Linked DNA regions of Anolis sagrei. The protein of the gene in region 2 interacts with the protein of the main gene of each other region in a pairwise test. Links are inferred from orthologs where the notes say so. Each region holds a gene or a part of one and is shown on either strand. Other genes may lie near its edges. The genes, in order: PPP1R3D, EPM2A and PPP1R3C.

Region 1 (10,977 bases), on a different chromosome or scaffold from region 2:
TTGTGTTCCTGATTTACACTTCATGGTGGAGAAAAAAAATCCTCTATATTCTCTACAATAAAGCATACAAATGATCCAGAAATTATGTCATACATGTTTTACACCCAAGCAATCTGTGTAATTATCTCTTAACAAAGTGATATGTAATTATCTCTTAACAAAGAAATCACAAAGAAATAATACATTACTGATTTAGAAATATCAGTTTAGTGAAAAGTACATTGAAAAGTGGCAATGAAGGCAGCAAGAAGTTAAGTCCCCCCATTTGTATGGTTTCCATTTATCTTGAATATGTTTTCCATGGTGAAATGTGAAGTTTGATAATGTTGCAGAAAATAAACTGGGTGCCAGTAAACTGGGTCTGATCCAGAAGGATAAACCCTATTCTCTTATTTCCAGCACCAGATCAGAGTTACAACTGGAAAGATGGTTTTCACTCCTTTTTTCTGTTGCTATGGAAAAAACAAGGAACACAAAGAAAGCGCAAAGGAGCATAAGGGGCTCACAAGACAAAATGGCATAGTACAGGTATAGTACAACCTGGGAGTGATTGGCCATTGGGAGATCCAGATCAAGCAGCCATTCAAACAGTAGCCACAGCATGATTTGCATTTTCAAGGACCAACAGAGAGGTTAGGCTGTAAGGAACCCAAGGAAATGCACTCGTCTTAAAGACACATTGAATAATCAAAATGACAAAGAGGCTATTTCCAAAATAATGCTATCAGTTACGTAACAGATATAATCTCCCACATCCATTTGGCATGCTGTAGGGCCATACTAGAAAATCAAAGTAGAAAATGAGATGTTTGGAAATTATGTGATACACTGGCATGAAAGCATCTTGAAAATTATGTCTACATAATTTCTATCTTAATCCTCCGTGTTTCTTTGAATAATTTATGAGACCATTGCAACTCTGCTATTTGAATCAGAAGTATTAGAACTTAGGTATATATTGAAACAATAGACACAGTTCTGTTTTGTTTCTGCACGATATACCTCCTATTATCGTTACAATACTTTTCAACAGTTTGCAAAATAATTCAGCTGTCTTAAAAACCCAAAAACGGCCAAACAAAAGCACGCACAGAGTAATATCCTGCTGCTTACACATAACTAGAGTAGATTCATTCAATCAATTGACAGTCATCACACAAATAAATGAAAAGGGGTTAATTGGTCTACTCTAGGCTGAATTTGTCCAAATGATGCCTGCTACACAATGTTGGAATATATGTGATCAGTCAGCTAAGCATTTTTTTTTCATGATACTCCATTTCACACTCTCATCCCTTTCCTTTTTCCCTTCCAAGGCCATGCTGCTTTAGGTTTTCCCCTCCCTATTTGGAATTTTCTTCCCAAGCATGAACTTATTTTTTACTTCTACGGTTTTATAACTCTTCCCACTATGTGTGGCTGCAGTATTTCTACTGAAATAATAAAGAAAACCCCATGAGATCTGTTTTGAGCTTCCCTATCATGTAACTGATAAGCAATAAATCAGAATTCTTGGCTTAGTCACCAGTAAGGAAAATAGATGTTCCATTACTCTGTCTTTCACATATGTTGGCCAGGCACTTCAAAGGACTGCCAAAATCTGAAGAACGGCCCCTTGAGAAGGCAGCTCATCAAAAAAAAAAAAACCCTCTTTAGCAAATGCATAGCTGGAATACTACTCTGGGTCCTTGGGATCCAGTTGCCATGAGACACAGAATAGGAATGGCTGGATTGAGCTGCAATATAGCCACCTTCAAGTTTCTCAAGGCCTAATGCTGTTCCACAAAAACAGAAAATTTGAAACTATGTGCTTTAACCACTCTCACATTGTGTAGGGACACGTTAACATGGAAGTGCAGCCATTGGTACAGGGCATGTTTGCATACAGGAGAAAAAGGAGAAAAAAACATCCTGCCTAAAAACCTAAACACTACTGCATGTAAACACTACTGAGCTACCAGGATAAAGCAGCTTCTTAGAGAAAATGTGTTGCAAAACAAGGAGAAGGAAATATTTTGGATATAAATATAATTCACTAATATTCAATTTGATAATTTCTAGCTGATTATGTTTAGCCAGCTAAATTAATGTTAGTTCTTTATATTTTCAATGAATCATATCTTCACAGCAGTCCTTTTAGATAGATAGATAGATAGATAGATAGATAGATAGATAGATAGATAGATAGATCTGAAGAGTGAGAAGAGGTATCATACAGAAACCCTATTTATCAAATACATTCTTCAACTAATATGTATGTATCAGCGCAACTTCTAGGCCTGCAGAACCCTGCATTCCATGTATTGTTTTACAAGTTATCAGTTATAAGAGTTCTTATTTTCATTTGTGCATATCAGTGTTTTAATGAAAGCTGGGAAGGAAATAATTTTGGCACACATATATAAAAACAATCATAGACACACAACACATGTACATATAAATCCATTCTTAATAATCCCTAATATATCCATTTGTAAAATATATACAGATAAAGCAAGGGTTTCAACCCAATCAAAGACTGAACTTCCAAGTAATAAATTCATCTTCATAAGTGTGTATCATCTCCTTTCTCCTATTTTCATAATTACAGGATGGCATTGGATTCCAAGATTTCTTGCAACTTAAGCACAATTCATATCTCGAATCACACATTCCACAAAAGAGAGTCCTCCTCCCCCACCTCATTTAAGGACAAACATGTTTAGACTGGCAAAAGCTTTTGTGGGCTGTAGTCCATGAATGCTTATGTCAACTTAAATTATTAGTTCTTAACAGGTTACATGATATTTAGTTGTTATGCTGCAAAAGAATCAAACAGCTACCCTCAGAAAACCATTTAGTTATAGTTCATTAGTAACAGTGCCTATATCCTCCACCTTTTACTCAAGCATCTCAGATAATATTTTCTTTTTTGAAATCAAGCATGAGCTCCTCAACTCTTGGTGATTATATCAGTGCATAAAAGGCTCACTCCTTTATTTCAATTTACAGCAATCTAGGTGAGTAATACACAGCTGGAGACAGTGATTCACATAACCTATTCTGATAACCTCAAATGGAATACAGTACAAAAGAGCAAAACTTTATTTTACTCAGGTAAACAACTTAGTGTGTTATTTTTCATCTATAAGTGTGCTTTGCTTGTAACCAGCAAGGAAAGGAACTTTTCCTTCAAGTGTAAACTGCATAGTTGCTCTACCCTGAGCAACAAAATGTTTCACATGTAATTTTTCCATTTGTGAGGACCTGAATGCTTCATGAATAGGGCACTAGTCTGCCAGTATGCTTTATAACACCTTCAACTCCCAGAAATCCTTACAGCTGGTAAACTGGCTGGGATTTCTGGAAGTTGTAGGCCAAAACACCTGGGGACCCACAGGTTGAGAACCACTGCTTTATAAAATGCAGTGTCTGCAAATATATTTCCACTTAGACCATTATAATACTCATCACCATCACTTTTTACAACCTGGCCCTGCAATATTTTGCCACTGCCTAAAAATGATGCAGCACTGGAGGTTTTTTCCTGCTAAGGAGCAAAATCACACCGCCCATACTTTACCTATTAAAATTATATCAAATAAAAACAAAGTGCAAAAGTGCATTGACCGAAGTGCAAATCTACAGCTTCAATGATTGCAAAAATAACTACATTTTAAATATCCAAACTCTATATATAGTCTCATCTATCACAAAGATTAATCAAAACAACAGAAATTGGCTTGTTTTCCCTGATAGTGTCCTTTCTGCTGTTGTTTACACATGCTTTCATACATAAAACACATAGACGCATACAAAAAAATACATATTGATTAAATCTAGGTGTTAAGTCAATACTTGGCTATGAATCAGTGCTGAAGATTATGGCCCTTTATCTCTAAAGAAAAACCATCTTTTCTGAACTCATTTTGTGGAGATCACTGGTATATAAATATTAATTCATTCTGAAGGATCTTTGCCACTCTGAAGGCCTTCTTTGGTGTATCAGGAAGAAGAGAAGTGCCAAAGGAAAACACAGGACTAGCAACAGCAAGAAGGCTGTAGCTCTTCTGTATTTCTTCTTTTACTTAAATAAAGTGGATCCAGCTCTCCTCACATTCCCTGGGCATTTTAAGTGGGTGATTCCTACAAGTGAGGCTATAGTTTTTGCCTTGGTTATTATCCCAATACTCCTGCCCACTGACTCGGAAAAACACTGCAAACTCAACCACAGAGCTGAGCTGGAGGAGGAAAGGGGGAAGAGGGAGGAAGAAGGTAAAGACATCCACTTGATCCTGCCCATCCTTGCCAGGAAGACTGCTATGCCAACGAGCAGCAACTTCATGCTGGCCCCTCCAGTGGTTAAAGGTATAGCGCACAGCCACCTGCTTTTCAAATGCAAGGTTGATGACTCTGATGGTGCCATTCAGACCCAAATCTGAGCTGGTCACTCGTTCAAGGCACACTTTCTGCTGCTGAAGGCGACTGAGGAACTCCTCGCAGTCAGCAGGTTGCCTGAAATCAGGCACCAGGCACTGCATGGTGAACTCCAGGTCTAGCCTGCTGCAACAAAGATCGGAATTGATGGAGAGGCGAGAGAGAACATGCAGAGGGATGGATGGGTCTTCCCCAGCTTGGAAGACTTTCACTTCAGCCAGCTCCAAGCCTAATGCATCTGCAAACCTCACTCGGTTTCTGCCAGTGTTACACCCAGGAACACGGCAGGGTGCTGTCATGCTTCTCCTCCTCTCCGGAGAGCTTGGCAAGGACCTGGCTCGACGACGCATGATGGGCCTAAGGTGTGGGTCACAGCTTGCAACCACAGGGCTCTGCAGATGTCTGTCTTGCAGCTTTTCACTGGCAGAAATATTCAGGAGGCTGATGCTGCTGTGAACTGGTGGGTATCTCTTCTGCTCCTCACGCTGGGCTTCTTCTTGCAACATGTTCTGATAAAGGCCAGAGAGGTAGCTGGGGTTCCTTCGTGGGGGCCTCAAAGCCACTTGCTCAGATAGGCAAACAGGTTGAGCAGACACTGCTGCTCCTGAGAACAATTTTCGTTGAGACATGGCAGATAAGACCCAGGGCCAGTGAGATAGGAGGCACAAGTTGGCAAGGCCAAGAGACTGTTTCAACACAGGGCAGTTTAAGGTATTGGGACAGGTAGCCCTAGATAATTTTGCGACCCACCCAAGTCAGACACTGTAGGACCCAGAGCAACGATGTTGAGCAACAGATGTCTCAAGACTATCACAGAGACTGCAGGGAGAGTCCAAACTGTCTGACTGGATGCTGGAAGCTTGGGTGCTGTCATACAAATTATTTGCTGACTGAAGACTGTCCAGTTGGATGCTGGATGTCTCCAGACTGTCTCCGAGGCTGAAGATGGAGCAGAAGTTGCTGTGCCGGAGACAGACAGAATCCAGGCTGTCAAGTGGATGGCGGGTACAATGAGTGTCAACGGATGCAAGGCTTTGACAGTGCTCTCTGAGGGAATCCAGACTGTCACTCTGAATGCTGGAGGAATCCAGAAGACTGCCAGGGCTGGAAGGTACTTGAAGGCTATTAGATTGGGCAGAGAGGGAGTCCAGGCTATTGGAGATGCTGGAAAGAGGCTGGAGAATGTTGGAGAAGCTGTGGGGTGTCTGAAGGCTATTAGAGAAGATGGGGGAAGGCTGGGGGCTGTTGAAGAAGCTCGATGGAGCTTGAAGACCTTCTTCGCCTTGGATGGAAGAAACCTGAAGGCTATTTGAGAAGATGGCAGGCGCTTGAAGACCTTCTTCCTGGAGGCTGTTGGAGATGCTGCGAGGAGTCTGAAGACTTTCTCCTTGGATGGAAGAAGCCTGGAGGTTGTTGGAGAAGCTGGAAGGAGCCTGAAAACCTTTGCCTTGGATGGAGGGAGCCTGGAGGCTGTTGGAGAAGCTGGATGGAGTCTGAAGACCTTCTCCTTGGATGGAAGAAGCCTGGAGGCTGTTGGAGATGCTGGGAGGAGTCTGAAGACTTTCTCCTTGGATGGAAGAAGCCTGGAGGTTGTTGGAGAAGCTGGATGGAGCCTGAAAACCTTTGCCTTGGATGGAGGGAGCCTGGAGGCTGTTGGAGAAGCTGGATGGAGTCTGAAGACCTTCTCCTTGGATGGAAGAAGCCTGGAGGCTGTTGGAGATGCTGGGAGGAGTCTGAAGACTTTCTCCTTGGATGGAAGAAGCCTGGAGGTTGTTGGAGAAGCTGGAAGGAGCCTGAAAACCTTTGCCTTGGTTGGAGGGAGCCTGGAGGCTTTTAGAGAAGCTGGAAGGAGTATGAAGACCTTCGTTTTGGATGGAAGAATCCTGGAGGCGATCAGGTTGGGCTGAGCTGCTGATGGAAGCAGTGGTGGAGGAAGCCGATGGATGGGGATGACCCAAGCTATGGCAATGGCTAGATGCTGAGTCCACGTTGGGAGCGTCCGGGCCCCACATGCAGCAAGCAAGGCTCAGACTCTTCCCAAGGCCCCCAGCGAGGACTGCAGGGTCTTCTCCTTGAGGCAGACTCCTGCTTCACGCCCCCTTTTCAGCCGGAAGCGTGCAGACGGGCAAGGGATGCAGGCGCCGGGGGTTGCTGCGGCTCCTCCCTCCACCTGACTGCAAGGGGTGCAAGCGTGTGACGCTCCAGAGCCCCTTCCCCAGCCGAGGACGTGGGGGAAAGCCCTCTATGACGTCACGGGTCGCCACCTCCCCCTCTCGGTTCCTCCGGGGATCCTCCCCGGCCTTGGTTCGGTCTGCGCCTGCGCCAGCAATCGACGCATGCGCACAAGACTCACCCGAAGTCCGAGTTGCCCTTCCTTCTTCCCGTTTCCTGGGGAACTTGATTTAAATACGAAAAGGAGGGAATGGGAGGAGGGAGAGAATGGCAGGAGGAAAGGAATAGCAGCTGCGAAGGAAACTCACGAATGGAGAGAGAAAAGAGAGAAAACGAAACCCAGTTAGAATGGATTTAACTGGATAAATGGCCATGAAAGTGTGTCCAAACCTCATTTTACAAAAGACGAAATGAGGAGCCTAATGGGCAGAGCTTGGAAGTAACTAGTTAGTTACGTTTAAAATAGTTACATGTATCTGCTTATTTTTTGATAACAATCTGTCAACAAAGTCGCATTTCAAAAATAACAAGAAACAATGAAACAGAAGATTTTCATTGTTTCTTGTTATGTTTGAGGCTTCTCTCATTTCCCCGCATGGGAAGCTGGAGCTGACAGACAGGAGCTCACTTCGTCTCACGAATTTGAACCGCCAACCTTCAGGTCAGTTCAGGATGTAGACTTATATCAAGGAAGCCATGGCCTTGGGTCTGCTAGAACTGAGCAAGGCTATTCATTCCAGGGCGATTTGGAAATCTCACATTCATAGTGTTATAGTTTTTCAAGGTCTTTAGCTTTTTCTGCCAAAGAGTGCTGGTGCCGCGCCAAACTATAACTTTGGGATTCCATAGCATTGAGCCATAGCAGTTAAAGTGGTGTCAAACTATGTTTATTCCACCGTGTAGATGTGCCATGACGAGGGGAGATTATTTTCAGTGATATATGGGAATATAGGGAGCCCCCGGTGGCGCAGTGGGTTAAAACGCTGAGCTGCTGAGCTTATAGAACCATAGAATCAAAGAGTTGGAAGAGACCTCATGGGCCATCCAGTCCAACCCCCTGCCAAGAAGCAGGAATATTGCATTCAAATCACCCCTGACAGATGGCCATCCAGCCTCTGCTTAAAAGCCTCCAAAGAAGGAGCCTCCACCACACTCTGGGGCAGAGAGTTCCACTGCTGAACGGCTCTCACAGTCAGGAAGTTCTTCCTCATGTTCAGATGGAATCTCCTCTCTTGTAGTTTGAAGCCATTGTTCCGCGTCCTAGTCTCCAGGGAAGCAGAAAACAAGCTTGCTCCCTCCTCCCTGTGGCTTCCTCTCACATATTTATACATGGCTATCATATCCCCTCTCAGCCTTCTCTTCTTCAGGCTAAACATGCCCAGCTCCTTAAGCCGCTCCTCATAGGGCTTGTTCTCCAGACCCTCCATCATTCTAGTCGCCCTCCTCTGGAGCTTGTTGATCGAAAGGTCGCAGGTTCGATTCCGGGGAGCAGCGTGAGCTTCCGCTGTCAGCCCTAGCTTCTGCCAACCTAGCAGTTCGAAAACATGCAAATGTGAGTAGATCAATAGGTACCGCTCCGGCGGGAAGGTAACGGCGCTCCATGCAGTCATGCTGGCCACATGACCTTGGAGGTGTCTACGGACAACACTGGCTCTTCGGCTTAGAAATGGAGATGAGCACCACACCCCAGAGTCAGACATGATTGGACTTAATGTCAGGGGACTACCTTTACCTATGGGAATTACAATATGTGAGCAACATTAACACACAAACTGACTAAGGATTCTGTATGGTGCGCCTCCTGCTAGACCAGACCAAAGGGAATCCTTAATAATTTTGTGTGTGTGCACGCGTGCATGTTACAGCCTCATCACACTAGAGCATAGATCCACTTTAAAACTGGTTTCTGCCTCCTGCAGAATTCTGGGGTTTGTAGTATCTGGCAGAGCAGTTTAAAGGCCCCTCCCTAAACTACAAGTCCCAGAATTCTGCAGGAGGCAGAAACTGGATTTAAAGTGGATCGATGCTCTAGTGTGATGTCCTTAGAATCACTTATATATTGTAATTCCCGTATATCACTGAAAGCAATGACATTCACAGGCTCTCATCCTCAGAGTTTGTCAATGCTATGATTCAATGGAATCCTATTTTTATTTATTTATCATGTCAGTATCAACCAGACAATTGTATTACATTTTAAACAAATTTTTAACAAACAGACGAAACAGAGTTTGCAAGCTTGGTAGTTGATTAAATGTCCTTTGACCAGTATCTGGCCACTTGGAGTGCCTCTGGTGTTGCCTCAAGAAGGTCCTCCATCGTGCATGTAGCAGGGCTCAGGTTGCATTGCAGCAGGTGGTCTGTGGTTTGCTCTTCTCCACACTCGCATGTCGAGGATTCCACTTTGTAGCCCCATTTCTTGAGGTTGGCTCTGCATCTCGTGGTGCCAGAGTGCAGTCTGTTCAGCACCTTCCGAGTCGCCCAGTTTTCTGTGTGCCCAGGGGGGAGTCTCTCATTTGGTATCAGCCATTGATTGAGGTTCTGGGTTTGAGCCTGCCACTTTTGGACTCTCGCTTGCTGAGGTGTTCCAGAGAGTGGCTCTATAGATCTTAGAAAACTATTTCTTGATTTAAGTCGTTGGCATGCTGGCTGATACCCAAACAAGGGATGAGCTGGAGATGTCTCTGCCTTGGTCCTTTCACTATTGGCTGCTACTTCCCGGCGGATGTCAGGTGGTGTAATGCCGGCTAAACAGTGTAATTTGGAATCCTGGGAGCTGTTGTTTTACAGGGTCTATCGTATTCTCTGCCAAAGAGCCACAAAATTTAGTCTCTGGGCGTACATTTACACTGCAGAATGAATTCAGTTTGGACTGTCATGGATTCCTTGGATATATAGTTTTGGATGCATCTACACCAGTATTTCTCAACCTGGGGGTCGGGATCCCTGGGGGGGGGGGTCACAAGGGGGTGTCAGAGGGGTCACCAAAGACCATCAGAAAACACAGTATTTTCTGTTGGTCATGGGAGTTCTGTGTGAGAAACTTAGTCCAATTCTTCCGTTGGTGGGGTTCAGAATGCTCTTTGTAGGTGAACTATAAATCCCAGCAACTACAACTCCCAAATGTCAAAATCTGTTTTTCCCAAACTCCACCAGTGTTCACATTTGGGCATATTGAGTATTTGTGCCAAGCTTGGTCCTGATCCATCATTGTCTTGAGTCCACAGTGCTCTCTGGATGTAGGTGAACTACAACTCCAAAACTCAACCTCAGTGCCCACCAAACCCATTCCAGTATTTTCTGTTGGTCACGGGAGTTCTGAGTGCTAAGTTGGGTTCAGTACAATCGTGGGTGGAGTTCAGAATGGTCTTTGATTGTAGATGAACAATAAATCCCAGCAACTACAATTCCCAAATGACAAAATCAATCCCCCAACCCCACCAGTATTCAAATTTGTGCGTATCAGGTCTTTGTGCCAAATTTGGTCCAGTGAATGGAAATACATCCTGCATATTGGATATTTGCATTACAATTCATAACAGTAGCAACACTACAGTTATGAAGCAGCAACGAAAACAGTTTTATGATTGGGTGTCACCACAACATAGAATCAAGAGACCTCATGAGCCATCCAGTCCAACCCCCTGCCAAGAAGCAGGAAAATTGCCTTCAAAGCACCTCTGACAGATGGCCATCCAGCCTCTGTTTAAAAGCTTCCAAAGAAGGAGCCTCCACTACACTCTAGGGCAGAGAGTTCCACTGCTGAATGGCTCTCACAGTCAGGAAGTTCTTCCTCATGTTCAGATGGAATCTCCTCTCTTGTAGTTTGAAGCCATTGTTCTGTGTCCTAGTCTCCAGGGAAGCAGAAAACAAGCTTGCTCCCTCCTCCCTGTGATTTCCCCTCACATATTTATACATGGCTATCATGTCTCCTTAGGGAAGGCTGAGCGAAGGAAGATAGATGCTTTTGAACTGTGGTGTTGGAGGAAAGTTCTGAGAGTGCCTTGGACTGCGAGAAGATCCAACCAGTCCATCCTCCAGGAAATAAAGCCCAACTGCTCATTGGAGGGAAGGAGACTAGAGACATAGTTGAAGCACTTTGGCCACATCATGAGGAGACAGCAAAGCCTAGAGAAGACAATTATGCTGGGGAAAGTGGAAGGGAAAAGGAAGAGGGGCCAACCAAGGGCAAGATGGATGGATGGCATCCTTGAAGTGACTGGACTGACCTTGAAGGAGCTGGGGCTGGTGATGGCCGACAGGGAGCTCTGGCGTGGGCTGGTCCATGAGGTCACGAAGAGTCGGAGACGACTGAACGAATGAACAACAACAAAATTACAACAGCACAACAACAGAGAGGAAACAAACAAAGACATCTAATCACCTCTC
Region 2 (10,984 bases):
TTGGGAGTCACCACAACATGAGGAACTTAAGTTTGCTTAGGTTAGGGACTATATTAAGGGGGTTGCGGCATTAAGAAGGTTGAGAAACACCAAGTTAGAACAAGAAAGTAGTTGCCTTAACTCGAGCAAACTTAAGTGTAAGCCATCTACACTAATCATTTAATGCAGTTCAAAGCTAGCTTCAAACTGCAAAAGCAGGATAACAATTGCCCCTAAAAGAAAAGGAAAAAAAGCCCTTAATGTGAGAAAGGGTGGGCAATTTGTAACCTTCCATAGATTAATGGACTGTAACTTCCATTGTCGCCATGGTAAAGAATGATAGGAACTACAATCAAACCAATGAAGGCCACAAGCTACTGATGTTAATGCAGACTTTGCAGGGTGCTTTTATTAACCAAAATGGTATAAACTGTGTGGTAGTGATGGGGGATATTGGGAAGAAATGTATTCATGGCTGAATGTCAGAGACTGTTTTTCTTTTCAGTAAGTGAGAAGTATATGGAGTAAGCTGTGAATGAGAAGAAATCTTACAACAGACAGTGGGACAATGCAGTGGTCATGTCTGAGGTTGGATACACACTGCCATATAATCCAGTTTCAGAGTGCACGTTAACTGCTTTGAACTGGATTATAGAAGTCTATGCTGCCATATAATCAAGTTCAATGCAGTTAATGTGTATTCAGAAACTGGATTATATGGCAGTGTAAATGGAGCCTGAGTGATCTCTCAGAGAAAGTCCACTTTGCTGATGAGATCTTGAAGGCATGATGAGAAATAGTGGCAATACAATCATATTTCTGTTAATGTAAGAGTTACATTCCTGGCCATTCCTTCATTACCAAGAACAACAATAAATGGGACCAAAGTGAAAAATAACATAGGAAATAAAAAATGGGTTCCTACTCCACAGAGCATTCATAAATTTTGTATCCAAAGCTAACAATATGCATTTCTGAACTGGAACTACAGATTAGTAACACTTGTGTAAGTAAACAAAAATATTTTGAACTTTCCACTTAAAGATTTCCTCCAAATTTTATTCAGGGATCATTTGCTTTTCATGATTTCCATTTTATAGATCAGTGCTTCTTTAACATGTTGGGAGTAGACGATGGGGAAGACTAACTTGCTTTTCCCTTTACTTTGTTTTGCTGTCCACACAGGCTCAGTTCCAAAGCGGCTGTTGCTTACCCTACTTGTTGCAGACAAGCACATACCTCTACAATATTATGGAATCAGGTTGCTTCCATAATATTCAGCTTTATTGGATTGTTTATTACTACTACAAATACCCTGTGCAGAGGTGTTAAACTTGTGGTGTGCAGATGTTTTGGCATCCAACTCCCCAAAGCCCTAGCCAGCTGCCCAATGGCCAGGAATTCTGGGAAGTGAAGGGTTACAAGTTTGACACCACTGCCCTCTGACAACATGGTATCAAAAGCCTGTGTTTCTCCAGTCCACCATCTTCCAAATGGAAGAGATGAAACCTTGAGGGCAAGGGGGGAAATAGGGAGAGTAGGGGTATAAAAAGACTTTGCAAAAAGGAGCTTCTTTGTCAGAGGTTTGATTAACTGAGGCATGCCTGATTGCAATGGCCTGGAGAGATACATATTCAGAAGACTTTGCCCTCATAAATAAGCCAATGGAAGTTACTATGCAGAGATAAATTTTACTTGCTAGAAGCTGACATGACAGGAACTGTGCTCTGGGCCCAGAAGTGAATGATTTCCTGTCTTCTATACTGGACATAGGTTTAAGGGAGCAGATCCCACTTGTCTAATTTGTTCAGCATAATGTGCATAAGCTATTGCACCTATTCAATTTCTAAACAATTTCAGCGGGAAAACATATTTCCTAAACCTTCAGGTTAGAAGAGCTGATAAGTGGGTCCACCCAAAGATATCCAAATATTGATGCAGGTCAAGACAAAACAAGATGTCAAAGAAAATAAAACCACCGAGGTTTGGAAGGTCACCAAGCAGAGCAGGAGAAATTCCCAAGGGAGTTTCCTAAATAGATCCATTCAGCGGTCCAAAACATTTGTAGTATCTTAAAAGACACAAGAAGTGGCCTGGAGGAAGAGGTCAGAGGAAAGAAAAAGAAACTCTGCATTTTTATTAGTGACTTAATAAAGACCCACTACAAAGTACATAATAAATAAAAGGTAAAGGTTTTCCCTGACACTAAGTCTAGTTGTGTCTGACTCTGGGGAGTGGTGCTCACCTCCATTCCTAAGCCAAAGAGCTGGCATTGCCTGTAGACACCTCCAAGGTCATGTGGCCAGCATGGTTGCATGGAGTGCCGTTTCCTTCCTGCTGAAGCGGTACCTATTGATCTACTTACGCTTGCATGTTGCCAACTGCTGGGTTGGCAGAAGCTGGGGCTAACAGCAGGAGCTCACCCCGCTTCCTGGATTTGAACCGTCAACATTTCGGTCAGCAAGTTGAGCAGTTCTATCCACTGTGCCACCAGAGGGAGATATATATATATATATATATATATATATATAATTATTATTATTAAACTTTATTTGTACCCCGCTAGCATCTCCCAAGGGATTCGATGCGGCTTACAACAGGCCAGAGCCCAACACAACACAATACAACAATACAATATATAGCAAATAAAACAGTTAAAGCAGAAAAACAACAGCAATAACAATACAACAGGACATTATTAAAAACTGAGCCGGCTGAAGTGGGGTACAGGGTTAAAAGTGCTGAAAAAGTGTCGGGGGATATGATATATATACATGTAAATACAAATAAATACATGAATTTGGAACATATATATTGCAATTATTATTATTATTATTATTATTATTATTATTATTATTATTATTATTATTATTATCTGCATTTCTATACCACTTTTCTCACCTCTGGGGGGACTCAAAGTGGTTTACAACATAATAAATGGCAAATTCAATGCCTCATATATATATATAGAGAGAGAGATAATATCACATATCTAAATCAATAACATATAACTGTAAATTAAAATCATTAAAACTATAAAAATGTCAAACATAGGCATAAGCATTAAACATATTATTGCTGCAATTAACAACGTAGACCCCTTCTCTCCTCCCCCCCCCCCACTCCCCATCTCTCTCTCCATAGAATTTCAGCCCTTCTTTTTATACCTCCCTGCTCACCACCCCATCCCACAAGAAGCTGACCTATATCTTGGAAACTGCCCACAAATCTAATCATTAAATTTTATTTATATTTCATGTACACTTTATGCACATATCCTGCCAGTAATTTTATTCCATTTTTAAATAACTTTGCGCATAAAACAAAGTTTGTGTACACTGAGCCATCCCAAAATGAAACTCTATCCAGTCTACCCAAATGAATGATTTTGTGGGTGCATCAACACTATAGAATAGGCCTGGGCCAACTTGGGGCCTCCCTCCAAGTATTTTGGACTTTTTATGTATGTATTTATTTATTTACGACATTTATATGCTGCCCTTCTCACCCCGATGGGGACACAGAGCGGCTTACACGATATATATACATACAATATATTATATTATTAGCATAGTATAATATCAGTATTAAATATTACTATATTGTACGATACCATTATGCTGTAATATTATTAGTTATATTACACGTAATATAAATATATTAATATAATATCATATTAGTATTATATTGCATTACATTATATTATAAATATTATATGTATATACAATATATTACATTACATTATATTATTAGCATAGCATAGGAGACAAGGTGGAACTGTCCCCTGGCCCCCTCTCTCTTCACTTTGACCCAGAGCGGCAGTTGGTATATTGAGGGGTCCCCAGCTGACTTTACTTAGGTGATCCCTCGTTGGATGAGTAGGATAGTCCTCCATGATCAGTATTCTTGTGGATCCGTAGGTGGCTGTGGAGCCCTATTCTTGACCTGCATCTTCTCCCACAGTGAGGGCATTGTTTTCCAGGTGGAAGGCGGTCTCGGTCAGGGTTGGCTTGACGTGCCTTCCTCCTGGCACATTTCTCCCTTCCACCCTCCATTTGTGCCTCTTCAAATTCTGCAGCACTGCTGGTCACAGCTGACCTCCAGCTGGAGCGCTCAAGGGCCAGGGCTTCCCAGTTCTCAGTGTCTATGGCAAAGATTTTAAAGTTGGCTTATATGTAAGTCAAACCAAAGCCAATCCCCAGCTGAACCGACTGTGAATAATAGGTATGGGTAATCTTGGGCCCTCCTGGTGTTTTGGACTTCAACTCCCACCATTCCTAACAGCCTCAGGCCCTTTCCTTCCCCCTCTAAGCCGCTTAAGCGACCTGAGGCTGTTAGAAATGGTGGGAGTTGAAATCCAAAACACCTGGAGGGCCCAAGATTATCTATAGCTGCTATGAACAGCCGGTTCAGCAAGAGCCATAAGCGTAATTCTGTCGCTGGCCACAGAATCGCTCCAAAAAGGAAAGGGAAAGGGCCTGAGGCTGTTAGGAATGGTGAAAACTGAAGTCCAAAACACCTGGAAGGAGGGCCCAAGTTGACCCAGGCCTGCTTTAGGATGTCTGCATGAGCGATACTCAACTTTGATTATCTAGCCAACTTGGCCACGCCCCCTCCTCTGGCGCACGCGCAGAACACGCCGGCGAGCGAGCACGCAGGCAAGCAATCAGGCAGGGGTGCGTGCGCGGGGGCCGTCCGTTACCTTCCCAGATGGTGTCCCCCGTCTCGCGCCGCCTGAGGAACTTGTACCAGAAGGTGGTTCCGGCCTCCTCCTCCTCGGGCAGCGCCACCTCGGCCAGCCACAGGACGGGTTCCTGGGCCGGCAGGGGCGCCAGCGGCCGCGCGGGCTTCATGGCCAGGGCTTGCTTGGGCTCCCACTGGCCCAGCTCCGGGCGGGAACCCGACACGCAGAGCGCCGTCCCGCCGTCGGCCAGCCGGGCGGGCACGATCACCCCGAAACGGAATAGCATCTCGGCGGGAGCCGGGCCGCTATTAGAAACTAGGGAGTTGGGGAGGGAGAGAGAGCACGGCTGAGCTTCCCCTCACGGCCGCTAGGGGCGAAAGGCAGGGGAGCAATTGCCAGCCATGTCCTAATAGGGACTGGTAGCGATAGGGAGGGATCACGTGACCTGCGCATGCGAAGGGAGCCTCCCAAGTTTGGTTTTGTTTTTTTGTTTTTTGCGACTTCAGCTCCCAGGATCCTTTGCCATTGTTCCAATCAGCCGAGGCTTCTGGGAGTGGAAGTCCAAAGCACTAGAATGTGGGAAGCGCTGAGTCAGCGATTACCAAGTTTCGCGTGATCCCTGTCTGGGACTTCATAGGGTAATAGTACAAGGTTAGTCAAAATGCATAGGCCAGTATATAGTATCAATTGGGGACCCCTCTCCCCAGCACCAACTGCTGCTCTGGGCCAGAGTGGAGAGAGAGGGGGACAGGAGACAGTTTCACCTTGTCTCCTGTGCTATTCTAAGAATACAGTATAATGTAATATAATATATTGTATATACATACAATAGTTATATTATAATGTAATGCAATATAATACTGATATATTATTATATATTTATATTACATGTAATATTACTAATATTACAATATAATGGTATAGTACAATATAGCAATATTTAATACTGATATTGAACTATGCCAATAATATAATATATTGTATGTATATATATCTTGTAAGCCGCTCGGAGTCCTCTTCAGGGTGAGAAGAGCGGCATATAAATGTAAATAAATAAATAAATAGCTGGGTCCGGAAGCTAGAAGCGTTATGCTGTCTCCGCTTCGCTCCTTTGGGAGTGCTGTTTGCACAGCATAATCTTATAGAAGGAATATAAGAGTTCTTTAATGGTAAAACCCTTACCCGAACCCTAAACCTTACCCTACCTCTAAGCCTAAGCCCAGACCCTAAAGCTTACCCTACCTTACCCTAACCCTAAACCTTATCCTAACCCCCCCTTCCTTTCTATCTTTCTGCCCTCCCTTTCCTTTTTAAAATTTTTTTTAATCATCTTTATTATTCCCCCCCCCCTTCCTATCTTTCTGCCCTCCCTTTCCTTATTCACAATCGCTGTTGCGGAATGTGCATAACGCTTGGAGCTTCCGGACCCAGCTATCATACTATCACCCTTCATAGAATCCTTGAAACGTTTTATGGAACCGAAGAACAAAAAACCCGAAGGAACAGCTGCTCTTAGGGCCCCTTCCATACAGCCCTATATCCCAGAATATCAAGGCTGGAAACTCACATTATCCAAGCGTTTATTGTTTTTGTTGTGTCAGGAGCGACTTGAGAAATTGCAGGTCGCTTCTGCTGTGAGAGAATTGGCCGTCTGTAAGGACATTGCCCAGGGGACGCCCGGATGATTTGATGTTTTTATCATCCTTGTGGGAGGCTTCTCTCATGTCCCCGTATGAGGAGCTGGAGCTGATAGAGGGAGCTCATCCACCTCTCCCGGGATTCCAACCTGCATCCTGTCGGTCTTAAGTCCTGCTGGCACAGGGGTTTAATCCACTGTGCCACCGGGGGCTCCTCGTGTGGACTCAGATAACTCAGTCCAAAGCAGATACTGTGGGATTTTCTGCCTTAATGTTCTGGGTTATAGGACCGTGTGAAAGGGCCCTCAGTACTGCATAAGGTGTCTATGGGCCATTCCACACAGCCCTATATCCCAGAATATCTGCTTTGAACTGGGGTGTGTGGAAGGGCCCTTAGATTGTCAAAAAGATCCAGGGCAAATCAATCCAGATTCAAAGTGTTGTCGAAGGCTTTCATGGCCGGGATCACTAAGTTACTGTGAGCTTTCCAAGCTGTATAGTCATGTTCCGTAAGCATTCATCCCTGATGTTTCACCCACATCTGTGGCAGGCATCCTCAGAGGTCTGTTGGAGACTAGGCAAGTGAAGTTTATATATCTGTGGAATGTGCAGGGTGGGAGAAAGAACTCTTGTCTGCTTGAGGCAGGTGTGAATGTTGCAAATGGCCACCTTGATTAGCATTTAATGGCCTTGCAGCAACATAGGGACCACCAAACGCAGCACTGCCCAAACATGATTCAAGGAACATAAAGGCACTGGAGACTCATTCACAGTAGTCAGCCATAGCAGAGCACCTGATGAACCAACCTGGACACAGCATATTCTTTGATAACAGAGAAATGCTGGACCACTCTAACAACCACCATGTCAGACTACACAGAGAAGCCACTGAAATCCACAAGCATGTGGACAATTTGAACAGAAAGGATAGTCACCTGTGGGCTGAGAGGGAAGGTATATAAATATAGTAAATCAATATAGTAAATAAATAAACCATGAAAACGAACAAAATCTGGCTACCAAATGTTTAAAAAACAATAAAATCAGGACAGTAAATAAAGAGCAACACCCAAAAAGCAGGGGAATTCCAGGCAAGAATAAATCAGGGCCAGCTAACTGCTCCCAACAAAGGATTCCTCCAGGCAGCAACCAGCCAGCCTTTGAAGCTACAAGGTCATTAAATGCTAATTAAGGTAGCCATTTGCAACATTCACACTTGCCTCAAGCAGACAAGAGTTCTTTCTCCCACGTAGACATTCCACAGATATATAAACCCCACTTGCCTTGTTTCCAACAGACCCAACCTCTGAGGATGCTTGCCATAGATGTGGGCAACTTCAGGAGATAATGCTTCTAGAACATGGCCATATAGTCCAGAAAACTCACAGCAACCCAAACCAGATTCCTTTGGAGTCCTGCCTTCTGTTCGTAACAGCTGCCTTTTTGGGAGTGCAACTGCTCTTTTGTAGATCCTAGTAACGGGCTGCTCTACCCTTTTCTCAAAAAGGAAAGAGATCCCATTAAAGCTTAAAAAACAGGGCCTTTCCTATATAGTTGAAGAGTCCCTTTGGTCATTTCCCAGTTGTGATAGACAGTTTCCTTTCACTTGTCACCTGACAACGAAATGAAATATTTTGCACAATAACTACCAGATCTAACTTCCACTTACCAATCACAGACATTTCAATTTTGTTTGCTTTAATTTTGTTCCAAGCTGCCCCAAGACAGCTTGGAACAGAAATGAAAACTTATTGTTTCTCCATATTTAACTTCATAAAGTGCTGGTTGTAAAGGAGTGTAAAGAGTTGGATCAAGTCCCACTTTTGGGAAAGGGGCATGTTACGAAGAAATAATAGTCAGAATGTATGAACAACGTTCACATGGTGAGGAAAAAAGTTCAACAAAAAGATCCAGAGCTGGTGCCTTGCAGTGATATACAATGCGCTACACCATCTTGCAGAATCAATCATATTGGGCTTTTTCAAAATTTGTTGTGGATTCAATTGGCATTACAGTTTGATGTAGGCAAGACACTCAACACTATGAAGGTGTCATGTTTTCACTGTGATATGCCTAAACAAGCTATGGTGCAATCTCCTGCCTGCAGCGTCATTCCATGGCCTCAGATTAAATGCACCTGTTTTCTGGAAGGCCTCGGCTTGACAGAAAGCAGATAGTATTATAAACAAGTGGTGTCACAAAGCCCATGGGGCTCTCCAAATAAGTGTGGGATAAAGTCGTGCAAAAGCCACCTCCCTCAACACACAAAGTTTCAACATCCTCCAGACTGGCCATAAAATGGAAATAATCTAGTTCAACTATGACTACCTAGGGATAGCTCCTGTCAAAATTCAATGATCAAGGTGAGGACATTAATCAGAAACAATAAAGATGCTAATGATTACTCTGAAGGGGCTACAGGTTTCAGCTTTGGGGGGGGGGGCATATCACCATATGCTCCACAATGCTGGCCTTTATGAAAGAGTAGTAAGAAATCAATTGCTGCAATAAACACACACATAGGTTACTAGTCAGATTGGATCATAATTTTTAGTCTTGCTGCAGAACATTGTGGGACAAAGCAGAGTGCATGTTGACCTAAGAACACTTGATCCCCAAAATGATGCAGAATAGTGATAGTATCAAGTTGTGGGGATGCTTTTATTGCTGGTCATCACTAAAATGGTCAAGATTGAAAACTAGATGGATGGAGTCAAATACAGGGCAATTCTATAGTAAAAGATATTTCATTTTGTAAGGAGTAAAGTACTTTACACATTAACAAAGTAACACAAGATTGGTTTAGAAACAGGATCTGTACAATGCCCTAATCTGGCATGACAACAAAAGTGGGTATTTGCCACTAGTCCCCATCCAACATGACAGAGGTGATCCAATGGTGACAAAAATGGGCAAAAACTACAGGATTCAGATGTGTGAAGCTGACAGGGACTTACTCAAGAAGGTATTTTTACCTTGTCAGTGCTGTTCAAAGGTGTTATCCTATGCATCAACTCATTAATGCATGCATCCAACAAAATGCCAGTTTGTTTTTCTTCCCTTAACTTTCAAGGCAGAATAAGTGCATTTTGCAGCTTTGTTGAATATCTTGTGTGCGTCAAGTGATACTTCTTCCCTGTTGAAATTATTCATTCATTTTGGCTGAACTTTTCAATCTGTTACGGTCATTTTGAATCCTTAGACTGTATCCTCCAGAGTGTTGGCTACCCCTCCTAGTTTGGTGTCATCTGCAAATAATTATGTTGTTTATCCTGTCAATTACATTGTTATCAAGATGTTGAACCACAATGGTTTTAAAAGAGATTGCTATGATATCCTGCTAGTCCCTCTTTCCAGGATAAAGAGGAATCACTGGTGAATATTCTTGTGTGTTCAATTGGGAAACCAGTGAAAAAAACCACTGTCTTGCCTATATTTAACAAGCTTATCTGCAAGAATATAACAAGGTTGTGTTTTCAAAAATCTGACTGAAATCAAGGTATGTTACTAAAGTATGGCTCTGATCTACAAAATTAGTTATCAAAAAAGAGGTGTATAAAACAATTACAGGCATCTTTTGTAGTGAATATTCTCCTTCATCTATGTATTTTTCTCTTCACTTACTGGTAATGTCTTTCCCAAAATCCTGAGGAGAAAGGTCTTTTTCTGTCATCTAAGAATTCATTAGATATAAAATGCTTTCTAAACGGTTGATAGTAATTTCTAGAAACACTGCCACAACTGAAGGTATGTATGAGAATTAACTTTTAGATATTCAGACAGAATGGTGGATAGATGTACAGTTAGCCCTCCACATTTGCTGGGGGTAGGGGCAGAATAGCACTGTTAAAGTGAAAAAACGTAAATAAAAACAAATGCTATTTTTTTTTACCTGAGGATACACTGCTCTAGGAATCTTAGTTCTCCAGCATGACTCTGCTAGAAAATGACTATATAGTCGCACTGGAGGACCTAGTGATTCCTTGAGAGATTATTCTAATCAAATTCACAAAAAATCAAATTTGTAAAAGTTAAACCCACGAATGTGGAAGGTCGACTGTGATAGCTACCAGAAGATGATTTCATAATACTAAAAGGCAGACAAAAATGTTAAACAGTTCAAATTACCAACAAATAATACCCCCAAAATATAAGTTAGTCTTCAAGTGTCAAAATTGTTCATGTGAAGTACACTGAAGAAAGATAAAATCTTGCTATAGGTTCTAAAACCATAGTGACATTCATTCACTGCTGTAAACATATTTCAGCTTACTAAGCAGAATCAAGAAAAACCCAGATCACTTAGACCAGGGCAAGAATAATGTTACCCCTTCAGATCATGTTGAACTGCAATACCACAGCAGTACCAATGGTGAAGAACACTGGGAGTTGCAGACCCATAACATCAGGGAATAATGATTCCCAAGTCTGATTTTGCTTACTGACAAGGAAAAACATATACTAAATAAAAATGGCAAATGTGTTTTATTATGATTAACCGATGTTGCAAAATAGCATTCACTGAAAACATTGAAACAAGGTAGTGTATTGGTTAGAGAAAGAAATTGCTGTGAATATGAAAGAAAGGCAATGCAAATGGAAAAATTATCGTGAGAGACCCAAAGGCAAGATATAGTACAGGAAAAAGGTCAAGTATTGAAAAATACTGTGTTTTTTTAAAATA
Region 3 (10,652 bases), on a different chromosome or scaffold from region 2:
CAAACTTGCCACTCATAACCCCCTGGCTGCCTTTACATCCTGGTGAGGTTTGGGGGAGGGCAGACAATGGATGATGGGATTTGTAGTGCTTTCAAACCCTTCAGATCCCACAAACCACTGCGGCCCCCAGTAAAGACTGATAAAGACCAAACTTGGTACACAGAATCCCCATGACCCACTCTACATCCTACTGCAGTTTGGAGGAGGATGGCCCTCAGAGGACCTCACAACCTCTGAGGATGCCTGCCATAGATGCAGGCGAAACATCAGGAGAGAATGCTTCTAGAACATGGCCATATAGGCCAAAAAACTTACAACCCATGTTACATAATGTTACAGGCCTGTACGGTCAACCCCTGTACCCACAGAACTCATACCCATATGTTTCACCTACCCACATCCAATAAAATGTGTCTTCTTTAGGAATTGTCTGGGTCCTCCAACATGACTTTACGGCCACATGTGACAAAATCCATTCATTTTCAAGGGAGAAATTTGTCAAGAGGAAGACCCATCAAGCCAACCCTTGTGACCATCTTTCATCTTGAAATCTCTGTCCTCATTGCAAAAGACCATGCAGATTCAGAATAGATCTTCATAGTCAATTACAAACCCACCACCAAGACTACCCTTGGAAGACAATCATATTCAGCCATGAGTGATAGCCTATATTGCTATTAACTTCAATTTGCCATTTCTGTTCAGGAATGTACACACCATGATCATTGGAGAGGTGTCATTCTATATTCTCTATCATCTACTGTATATTTTACTAAATAATTTCTCCTGGCTCAACTCCCCCAAAACTGATGGTAGTGTCATTCATTCAATTCAATTGCTGGCAGAAGGGACCTCCTTCTCCCACGCAGCTGATGCCCAGAAAAGTAACTGTGTGGGGAAGTCATGACTGTGGCAATGGTGTCATAAAAGTGACTCAGTAGTGATAGTGAGTATGGAATACCTACCTATACTAACTGTTCTGCCTTCATGATCACTACTTAGTCATGAATCACAAGAAGAAGGAGTCCTATTCTGCTGATGTTTGGAGCACAGGTAAATAACATTTCTATCAGGTTTAGCACAGTCCGGCCAGGAGAGGTTATGTTTATTTAACTAAGTAGTTGATAGAGAATACCGACTAATGTCCTCTGTGTAGCACTGAGATATACAGTCCAATCTTCCTAGCCTTGTTTGTTATGAACTCCATTTATTTGCTTGCAGTCCACATACATATGCCCAAGAGGGCAATTTACAAGGATGAAAAGAAAGGGGTAATCTTGAAACCTAATGTGTTTATGCTGCTTTTCACATATAATCCTTTTGGAGTATCTTCTAATGAGATTATTTGTTCATATCTTCCAAGCTGCAGCCCTCCATTGATTTATAAACCCAGTGAATATAATGAGATTGACTTCTGAGTGCACATAACTAACTCTACTGTTGGTCATGCTAAATAAACTCTTCTGCATACTGTCTTAATAGATTCAATCAGGCACATCCAATGCTTTTTTGTATTTAAATTGGTTCATTACACTGATGTTAATCATTCTAAAGCAAGCATGGGCAGACTTCGGTCCTCCAGGTGTTTGGACTTCAACTATCACAATTCCTAACAGGCGGGCTGTTAAGAATTGTGGGAGTTGAAGTCCAAAACACCTTGAAGGTCAAAGTTTGCCCATGCCTGCTCTAAAGTGATTCATGTTCAACTTTCCCAGATTTGAAATCAAAACATGTATACAGAAAAAAACAACAAACTAATCAGTTTGCTCTGGCCTCCACATTAAAATCTCATTCTCTCTCTCTCTCTCTCTCAATCTGCCTACGTGCCAACCTGCCTCTCTCTCTCTCTCTCTCTGTCCATTAGGCTTGTCTGATCAAAAAAAAAAAAGAAGTTCAAAACTCGTTTCGGATGTAGGGGGCGCTGGTGGTTCGATTCTAAAGTCAATTCCGATTTTCACAGAAAAAAATGTTCAAAACTTTTTGAAACTTCTGAGACTTCCAAATCCTTTCATTAATGGTTTGAAAGTGTTATTTCCTATTTCGTTGTATTGTCTTTACTTTGAAAGTAGTTGTTTTACTCCAGGAGCGGGGAAAAGCAAGCAGAGTAAATCCTTTCCTTCTCTGGTTTAAAACTGGCTTCTCTGGCTTGAGCAGAGGCCAGGAACCAGAAGCAGGGAAAAGCAAGTGGAGTAAATTCCTACCTTCTCTGGTTTAAAACTGGCTTCTCTGGCTTGACCCGAGGCCAGGGACCAGAAGCGGGGAAAAGCAAGCGGAGTAAATTCTTTCCTCCTCTGGTTTAAAACTGGCTTCTCTGGCTTGACCCGAGGCCAGGAAATTCCTTCCTTCTCTGGTTTAAAACTGGCTTCTCTGGCTTGACCTGAGGCCAGGGACCAGAAGTGGGGAAAAGAAAGCAGAGTAAATTCTTTTCTTCTCTGGTTTAAAACTGGCTTTCTGGCTTGAGCCGAGGCTAGGGAATTCCTGCCTTTTCTGGTTTAAAACGGGCTTCTCTGGCTTGAGCCGAGGCCAGGGACCAGAAACAGGGAAAAAGCAAACAGAGGAAATTCCTACCTTCTCTGGTTTAAAACTGGCTTCTCTGGCTTGAGCCGAGGCTAGGGACCAGGAGTGGGGAAAAGGAAGCGGTGTAAATTCTTTCTTCTCTGGTTTAAAACTGGTTTCTCTGGCTTGAGCTGAAACCAGGAAATTCCTTCCTTCTCTGGTTCAAAACTGGCTTCTCTGGCTTGAGCCTAGGCCTGGGACCAGAAGCAGGGGGAAAGGTGAATCATTCCCGACTCACTTCATGAGTCATAACAAAAATGGCAGAGAAAGCTTTGGAAGGGCAAAGGGACTTCCGGTTTTCTTAAAAATTTCAAAATCACTTTGAAAAGGCAATTTTTTAAAATTTATTTCTAATTACGAAGATTCCGACGGTACCTAACCATGCCTACTATCCACCCATCCATCTGCCTGTATCTATCTGCCTCTATCTATCTATCTATCTATCTATCTATCTATCTATCTATCTGCCTCTATCTAATTAGGCATGTGCAAAAAACCCCACAAAAACAAACGGAAAACCTCGTACATTGGACCTCCTGCCAAAAGTAGAGTCCATCAGTCACATACTTTTCAAGGTGAAGTTCCAGCACTTAAGGCTGCAGGAAAAGGCCAAATACTGCAGACGTAGCAGTTTGAAAAGCACCACGAGCAATAAAGTTAAAATTAGAAATCTATTTATCTATCTCTATTTACTGCTCTCTTTTTTGCACCTACTTTGTCTAAGGATGAAAGGACTTTGTAGGTTTTCTTCTGGCTGGGTTGCTGCACAACAGGCAGGGATATGCCCAGGGAGCTCTTTGCTAGCAGTACAGTGGAATAGATGAGCTTCCTCTGTGGAATTTCAGCCCATAACATTTCCTTCCCAAGAAAAAGATGTTCTCAAATAAGGAAAACAATGCAACTGGTTTTGTTTTCTTAAAAAAACTGGAAAGCTCTGGAGAGATGGAAAGTCTATTCATAAGAACCAAAAGGAAACATCTGGAACATGTTTTGCTGAGTCCTGGGCCGGGGAGTCAGAAACAAGGAAGGGCAAAGACCCTTTTCTCCTTTAACCACAGGGTTGCTTGGAGCAATCTTGCAGACTCAGGACTCCTCTGGAGGAAGTGTCTCAAGAATGATCCAGAGCCTGGAAATGTTACCTTTGAGTCAAACTCAGAGATGTGAATACTCTAACTGGGGCCTTATCACACTAGAGAGAAAAATCCACTTAAAATCTGAATTCTGCCTCCTGCAGAATTCTGGGGTTTGTAATTTAGGGAGGAGCCTTTAACAGTCTCACTAAACTACAAACCCGATTTGCAGATTTTATGTAGATTTTTTCTCCAGTGTGATGAAAAATGCAATTTCCAGTATCCCCAGTCACTATGGTCTGCTGGGGATGTCAGATGCTGCAGTCCCAAACCCAACATGTCTGGTCATTATGGTTTGCTGGGGATGTTCTGGTCACATGTTCTTCTGGGGATGTTGGAAGCTGTAGTTTCAAATGCCTGCTGGGGATCTTGGGGGTGTTGTCCAAGCCTCCCAGGATGCCCACTCACCCAGGTCTCTTGGAGATCTTGGGAACTGTAATCCCAATTTCCAGGATACCCAATCACTACAGTGTGCTGAGGATGTTGGGAGCTGCAATCCCAATTACCAGCATGCCCAGTCACCATGGTCTGCTGGGGATGCTGGGAGCAGCACCCCGAATTCCAGTATGCACAATCACCATGGTCTGTTGGAGATGTTGGGAGCTCCAATTTCCAGTATGACCACTCATCATGGTCTGCTGGGGATTCTGGGAGCTGCAATCCCAATTTCCAGTATGAACGGTCGTCATGGTCTGCTGGGAATGATGGTACCTGCAATCCCAATTACCAGCATGCCCAGTCACCATGGTCTGCTGGGGATGCTGAGGCTACAACTCCAAATTCCAATATGCACAGTCACCATGGTCTTCTGGAGATGTTGGGAGTTGCAATCCCAAATTCCAGTATGCATGGTCAGCATGGTCTGCTGGGGAAGTTGGGAGTTGTAACCCCACATTCCAGTATGCTCAGTCACCATGGTCTGCTGGAGATGTTGGGAGCTGCAATCCCAATTACCAGCATGCCCAGTCACCATGGTCTGCTGGGGATGCTGGGGGCTGCAACCCCAAATTCCAATATGCACGGTCACCATGGTCTGCTGGAGATGTTGGGAGCTGCAATCCCAATTTCCAGTATGACCATGCACCATGGTCTGCTGGGGATGCTGGGAGCTGCAACCCCAAATTCCAGTATTCATAGTCACCATGGACTGCTGGAGAAGTTGGGACCTGCAACCCCAAATTCCAGTATTCACGGTCACCAGGGTCTACTGGGGATTTTGGGAGTTGCAATCCCAATTTCCAGTATGACCATTCACCATGGCCTGCTGGGGATGTTGGGAGCTACAACCCCAAATTCCGGTATGTACAATCACCATAGTCTGCTGGGGATGTTGGAAGCTGCAATCCCAATTACCAGGATGCCCACTCACTATGGTCTGCTGAGGATGCTGGAGATTGCAGTCCCAAATTCCAATATGCACAGTCACCATGGCCTACTGGGAATGTTGGGAGTCACAATCCCAAACTCCCAGTTTCCCAGTCACAGTGTCCTTTCGTTTTCCCAGTGTTTCAATGGCCTGCTGGGGGATGTTGCAGTCCCAAAGTCCCAGCATCCCCAGCACTAAAGACCTTGTGAAACTCCCATGCCCAGGATCCCTTAGCATGAAGCCATAACAGTGCAACTTTGCTGCCAGACTGCAGTCCATTCTACGGAGTGTCCCGGATGTTCTGGGCAGCCCTGAGTGCCATTCAATGGGAGGCCTGGGAAAGCCCGGCTGCCCGGCAGGGGCTGACCTTGAGCCGCTCGAGCTGGGCTCCCACCGCCTCCGGCCCAAAGGATCACGTTTCTTCAGCTCGGCGCTGATTGGCCGGCGGGAGCCTCGTGGGCCTCGGGATTGGCTGCCCCGCCGCTTTCACGTGAAGAAGGCAGCGCCGGGGCTGATAATAGCAGGCGGAGCGCGCGCCGGCCGTGGTCAGTCTGGCAGAGCGCAGCCCGACACGCGTCTTCTCGCGCCTTTGAACGTGTGAACGGCCGCTTCCTCCGCGTTCTGGATGCCCCTCCGCCTGGGTTTGGTGGGCGCTCCTTTAAGCAGTTAGAGCAGGTGAGCCTGACTTGGGTGGGGAAGGGAAAGCTTGGCATGGAAAGAAGCAATGCGGGTTGATACCGGATCTAAACTGCCCTGTTTTTCCACACACAGAACATCAAGGCAGACAATCCCAATCTGCTTTGAATAGGGTTATATGAGTCCACACTGCCATATATCCCACTTCAAAGCAGATAATGTGGATTATTTATTTATCTATGTGGAAAGGGGTCTTAATACTTATGGGATCATTGGGAGCTGCAGTTTTGCAAGGTCTCTAGCTTTCTCTGCCACCCTGCGAATCCTAGCGTTCCATAGCACACATTAAAGTGGTGTCTAAACAGCATTAATTCTGCAGTGTAGATGCACCCTAGCAATCACCTGTAGTTCTGACTAAGCATTTTTTAGGAAGGCTGCAGGGTTTGAGGGCTTTCCAATGCTGTATCGAAATAGTATTTTAAATTATATTAATGATATAACACAATTTACCCCATAATAGGGCTAACTTTGATGTAGCCACACAGTAGAATTGTAGCAGTTTGAATCCACTCTTAACTTCCAAGGCTCAGTGGTATGGAATTTCAGGAACAATAGCTTATTGTGGCATCAGAGCTCTGGGGTCCCTTCCAGACAGGCCCTATATACCAGGATCTGATCCCAGGTTTTCTTTTTATCCCAGATTATCTCTCAGTGTGGACTCATATAATCCAGTTTTAAAGCCACAAACCTGAGATCAGATCCTAGGATATAGGGCCCTTCCACACCACTAAATAAAATCCCACATTTTCTGCTTTGAACTGGGTTATATGACAGTGTGGACTCAGATAACCCAGTTCAAAGCAGATACTGTGGGATTTTCTGCCTTGAGATTCGGGGTTATATGGCTGTGTGGGATAGAGAAAGCTAAGTATCTCACACAACTAGATATCCAATATAATACTACTACTAATAATATGATAATATAATTATATTACATGTAATATTACTAATAATATTACAATATAATGGTATAGTACAATATAGTAATATATAATACTGACTAGCCGTCCCCTGCCACGCGTAGCTATGGCCCAGTCTGTGTATGTTTCGTGTGTGTTTATGTGTGTGTATATATTTGTGTATATGTGTATATATGTGTGTTTGCATATATAGACAGATAGATAGATCTAGATAGATAGATAGATAGATAGATCGGTGTATATGTTTGTGTATATATGTGTGTATACATGTGTATATATTTGTGTATTTCTGTTTATATGTGTATATGCATATTGAGTATATGTGTGTGCTTGTGAATAATATGTGTGTATGTATGTCTATATGTGTATGTGTGCATGTGTATATGTATGTGTATATTTGTGTGTGCTTGTGTATATATATGTGTGTGTATGTATGTATGTGTGCATGTATATATGTATGAGTGTATGTGTATATATTTAGTTGATTTGGGGGGGGGGGTTAAGTCTGTTCTGCTGGGTTTTTTGTGTGTTTTAGGGGTGATGGACACTCATTGGCCTGATAGGTGTATTGTGTCCAAATTTGGTGTCAATTCATCCAGTGGTTTTTGAGTTATTTTAATCCCACAAACGAACATTACATTTTTATTTATATAGATATTGTTCTATGCTAATAATAATACATATCGTATGTATATATATATATATACATCGTAAGCCTCTCTGAGTCCGCTTCGGGGTGAGAAGGGTGGCGTATAAATGTCATAAATAAATAATAAATATCCCATAATTCTATAACATTAAGTCTTGACTGTTATCAGGATTAGATTCAATCTATTACACTACATAACACAATTTTCATTTCTAGGTTATAAATATCCTTTCCTAATTGGTTCTGTCTTTAAAACATGGGAAAAATATTAAACTGCACAAGCTTTGTTTGTGCTGGACATCCTGCAGCACGTTTTGCTCTAGTTTTTCTCATCCAAGCCTCAACTAATTCAACATAGTTTGTGATAGACACAGAAATGAAGTTTCAGGAGTGGGACAACTACTTTCGAAGTCAGGACCACACAATTAAACAGGAAATAACACTTTCAAACCAGGAACAGGTTTTTTTTCCAAAATTTTGTTACATAGTTCAATTTTTTCATGACTTTTTAAGAAAGTACAGTCATGGCTATTTTGGTGCAGTGACATATTTATTGTGACTCTATTGTTTTGCAAACACATTATTTCAGGAATCTTAAATGTGGTTCCTGAATCCCATCAATCAAAAAGGGGAGAGGTAGAAGGACTGGATCTGTCATTTCATTTTTCTCTGCGGCTTCTCGTAACTGTGTCAGCAATGGAATTTCTAATATCCCGGCAGTGTGTCTTGCAGACGGATCTGGTTGAATGTTCCTATAAATGGCCAGGTTTAAGTAACTTTGGGCCCTTGCACACAGTCCTATATCTCAGAATATTAAGGCAGGAAATCCCACATTATCTGAGTGTGGACTCACATAACCCAGTTCAAAGCAGATATTGTGGGATTTCCTTCCTTTATATTCTGGGATATAGGGTTGAGGGGGAAGGGCCCTTGATCCACAAGTTTCTAGAAGATTCTAAGTTTTCACATTCATTGGACCTGACATTCGAGCTGATCCATGGCTGAAACAGTGGACCTTTCCACACAGTCATATAACCCAGAATATCAAGGCAGATAAATCACAATATCTGCTTTGAAATGGGTTATCTGAGACCCCTTCCACACAGTTTATTTATTTATTTACAGTATTTATATTCAGCCCTTCTCATCCTGCAGGGGACTTAGGGCGGATTACAATGCACATGTACATGGCAAACATTCAATGCCAATTAGACATACAACATATATAGACAGACACAGAGGCAATTTAACATTCCAGCTTTTCCGGCTTCATGAGGTTTTCCAGCACCTCCCCCTGGCCACAAGGGGAGCTGCCACTTTACTGTCCATTTGTGATACCAAGTCCTTTGATGAAGTTTTTTTTGTCGTGTCAGGAGCGACTTGAGAAACTGCAAGTCACTTCTGGTGTGAGAGAATTGGCCATCTGCAAGGACGTTGCCCAGGGGACGCCCGGATGATTTGATGTTTTATCATCCTTGTGGGAGGCTTCTTTCATGTCCCCGCATGAGGAGCTAGAACTGATAGGTGGAGCTCATCCACCTCTCCCCGGATTCGAACCTGTGACCTGTCGGTCTTCAGTCCTGCTGGCATAGGGATTTATCCCACTCCCCCACCGGGGGCTCAAGTACTTCTTCATTCTTATGCGCTGCTGGAAGGTTTTATGGTGTTGTAAATTAGTTAAGTTAGCCTCCCCACATAAAGCAGTACCTAAATTTCCTACTTGACAGAATGCAACTGTCTTTCGGATGCATAGGTCGACAGCAAGCTAGACTGGAAGCTCACTCTGACCTGAGCTAGCTTCAAACTCATGACCTCTCGGTCAATAGTGATTTAATGCAGCTGGCTATCAGCAAGCTGTGCCACAGCCCGGTCCCATAAAACCCCACATTTTCTGCTTTGAGGTGGGTTATATGGCAGTGTGAGCTCAGATATCCTAGTCCAAAGCAGATATTGTGGGATTTTCTGCCTTGATATTCTGATTTATATAGCTGTGTGGAAGGGCCCTGAGTCCACACTATCATATAATCCAGTTCAATGTGGATTTTATACAGCTGTATGGAAGGGACCAGTGTCTCTTACCAAGTTATGAGAAGGATTCCTAAATTATTACAGTCATAAAAAGTAACTACCTATCTTAACCTCTATGTAACTTTTAAAATGTCATTGGAAACCTTAGTAGGCAATGAATGTCCTTGGGGGAAGAAAAGGATACTCAACTGCTTACTTTCTGATTATAAGATACAAACTTTTGAGTTCTCCAAAAGTCTTAATCGTGCTATTTCTTTACCGTGTCAGAAGCAAATTGAGAATACAATTATAATGTTTATCATTGTGCTAAATGGAATAAAAAAATCCAACATATGGCTTTAAAAAAATGACCTCTCCCCAATACCTTAAATTATGTGCCTTTTACTTGGCTGACAAGTTCTCCAGAACTTGAAAGTTTACATATTTGTAGCATTTGGTTGGGAGGAATAGTTGTTGCTCAACTCTGTATTTCAGATTAAATTAATGTGCATGCAATAAAATCATATCAGCACTGTGCAAATATTATGCGTAAAAGAACAACAAAGATGGGGCTCATGGGTGTGATTAAATTTCCATTTATTTCTTAGGGTAGGATCTGCAAGTTTCCTTATTTTCCAAAGTTTATATATTTATTGCAATCAGCACTTGCAATCAATATGAGTGAATGCAGGTATCCTAAACATTTGTCCCTCTGGGATTTATGATAAACAGATACAAGACTCTGGAATAGATATAAAGCACACATATGGAGTTTGTTTCCAAGAGATACCAAATCCCCCATAATTGAAAAACGAGTTATGGATAGCAGTACATTGTTGGCTAGAATATAGAATAGTATGTGCAGATAGAGAATGTTATGTGCAGATTAGAACTATCTAACTGTATCAAATTGCTTTGTCAGAGGGCTTGGAAAATCGCATTTTGTAGCCAAAGAATGCATATTCGCAGCATGTTTTATCCCAGTTCTTGTAAAACGTGTTCAGATGGGTTTGGAATCTTTTAGAAAATTGTAGCATCCACCCCAATGTTTTCAGTACTGTGTGTGTTAGTATTTTGCCCGTTCTGCTTGTAGTAGTATGTCACAAGGCTGCCCAGGGCTGAATTATTTAAAGCCTTTCATCCAGCAAATCATGAATTATGAAGTTGCCGTTGAAGAGGCTTTCTTCTAGTGTCTTGCCTAAATTAAACGAGACATGTCTGTGTTTACATTGCAGAATGATACAAGTCTTGGACCCAAGACCTCTGTCCAGTTCCATCATGCCTGTCGATGTGGCCATGAGAATATGCTTGGCCCGTTCCCCACCTGT

What was found.
Region 1: the proteins of EPM2A (region 2) and PPP1R3D interact in a two-hybrid assay, tested with the Homo sapiens proteins (2 studies listed by BioGRID, with this or other methods). The link is inferred for Anolis sagrei from reciprocal best matches to the Homo sapiens genes EPM2A and PPP1R3D.
Region 3: the proteins of EPM2A (region 2) and PPP1R3C interact in binary tests that used the Homo sapiens proteins (3 or more experiments, as listed by UniProt). The link is inferred for Anolis sagrei from reciprocal best matches to the Homo sapiens genes EPM2A and PPP1R3C.

The regions. Positions count from the first base shown.
Region 1 is NC_090024.1:229,834,518-229,845,494, forward strand, and holds the start of PPP1R3D (protein phosphatase 1 regulatory subunit 3D), read right to left. Parts: upstream 5,046-10,977; coding exon 4,068-5,045; 3' UTR 1-4,067. UniProt on the Homo sapiens protein: Seems to act as a glycogen-targeting subunit for PP1. PP1 is essential for cell division, and participates in the regulation of glycogen metabolism, muscle contractility and protein synthesis.
Region 2 is NC_090021.1:75,310,365-75,321,348, reverse strand, and holds the start of EPM2A (laforin), read right to left. Parts: upstream 5,114-10,984; 5' UTR 4,950-5,113; coding exon 4,682-4,949; intron 1-4,681. UniProt on the Homo sapiens protein: Plays an important role in preventing glycogen hyperphosphorylation and the formation of insoluble aggregates, via its activity as glycogen phosphatase, and by promoting the ubiquitination of proteins involved in glycogen metabolism via its interaction with the E3 ubiquitin ligase NHLRC1/malin.
Region 3 is NC_090023.1:185,196,006-185,206,657, reverse strand, and holds the start of PPP1R3C (protein phosphatase 1 regulatory subunit 3C), read left to right. Parts: upstream 1-5,564; 5' UTR 5,565-5,727; intron 5,728-10,559; 5' UTR 10,560-10,560; coding exon 10,561-10,652.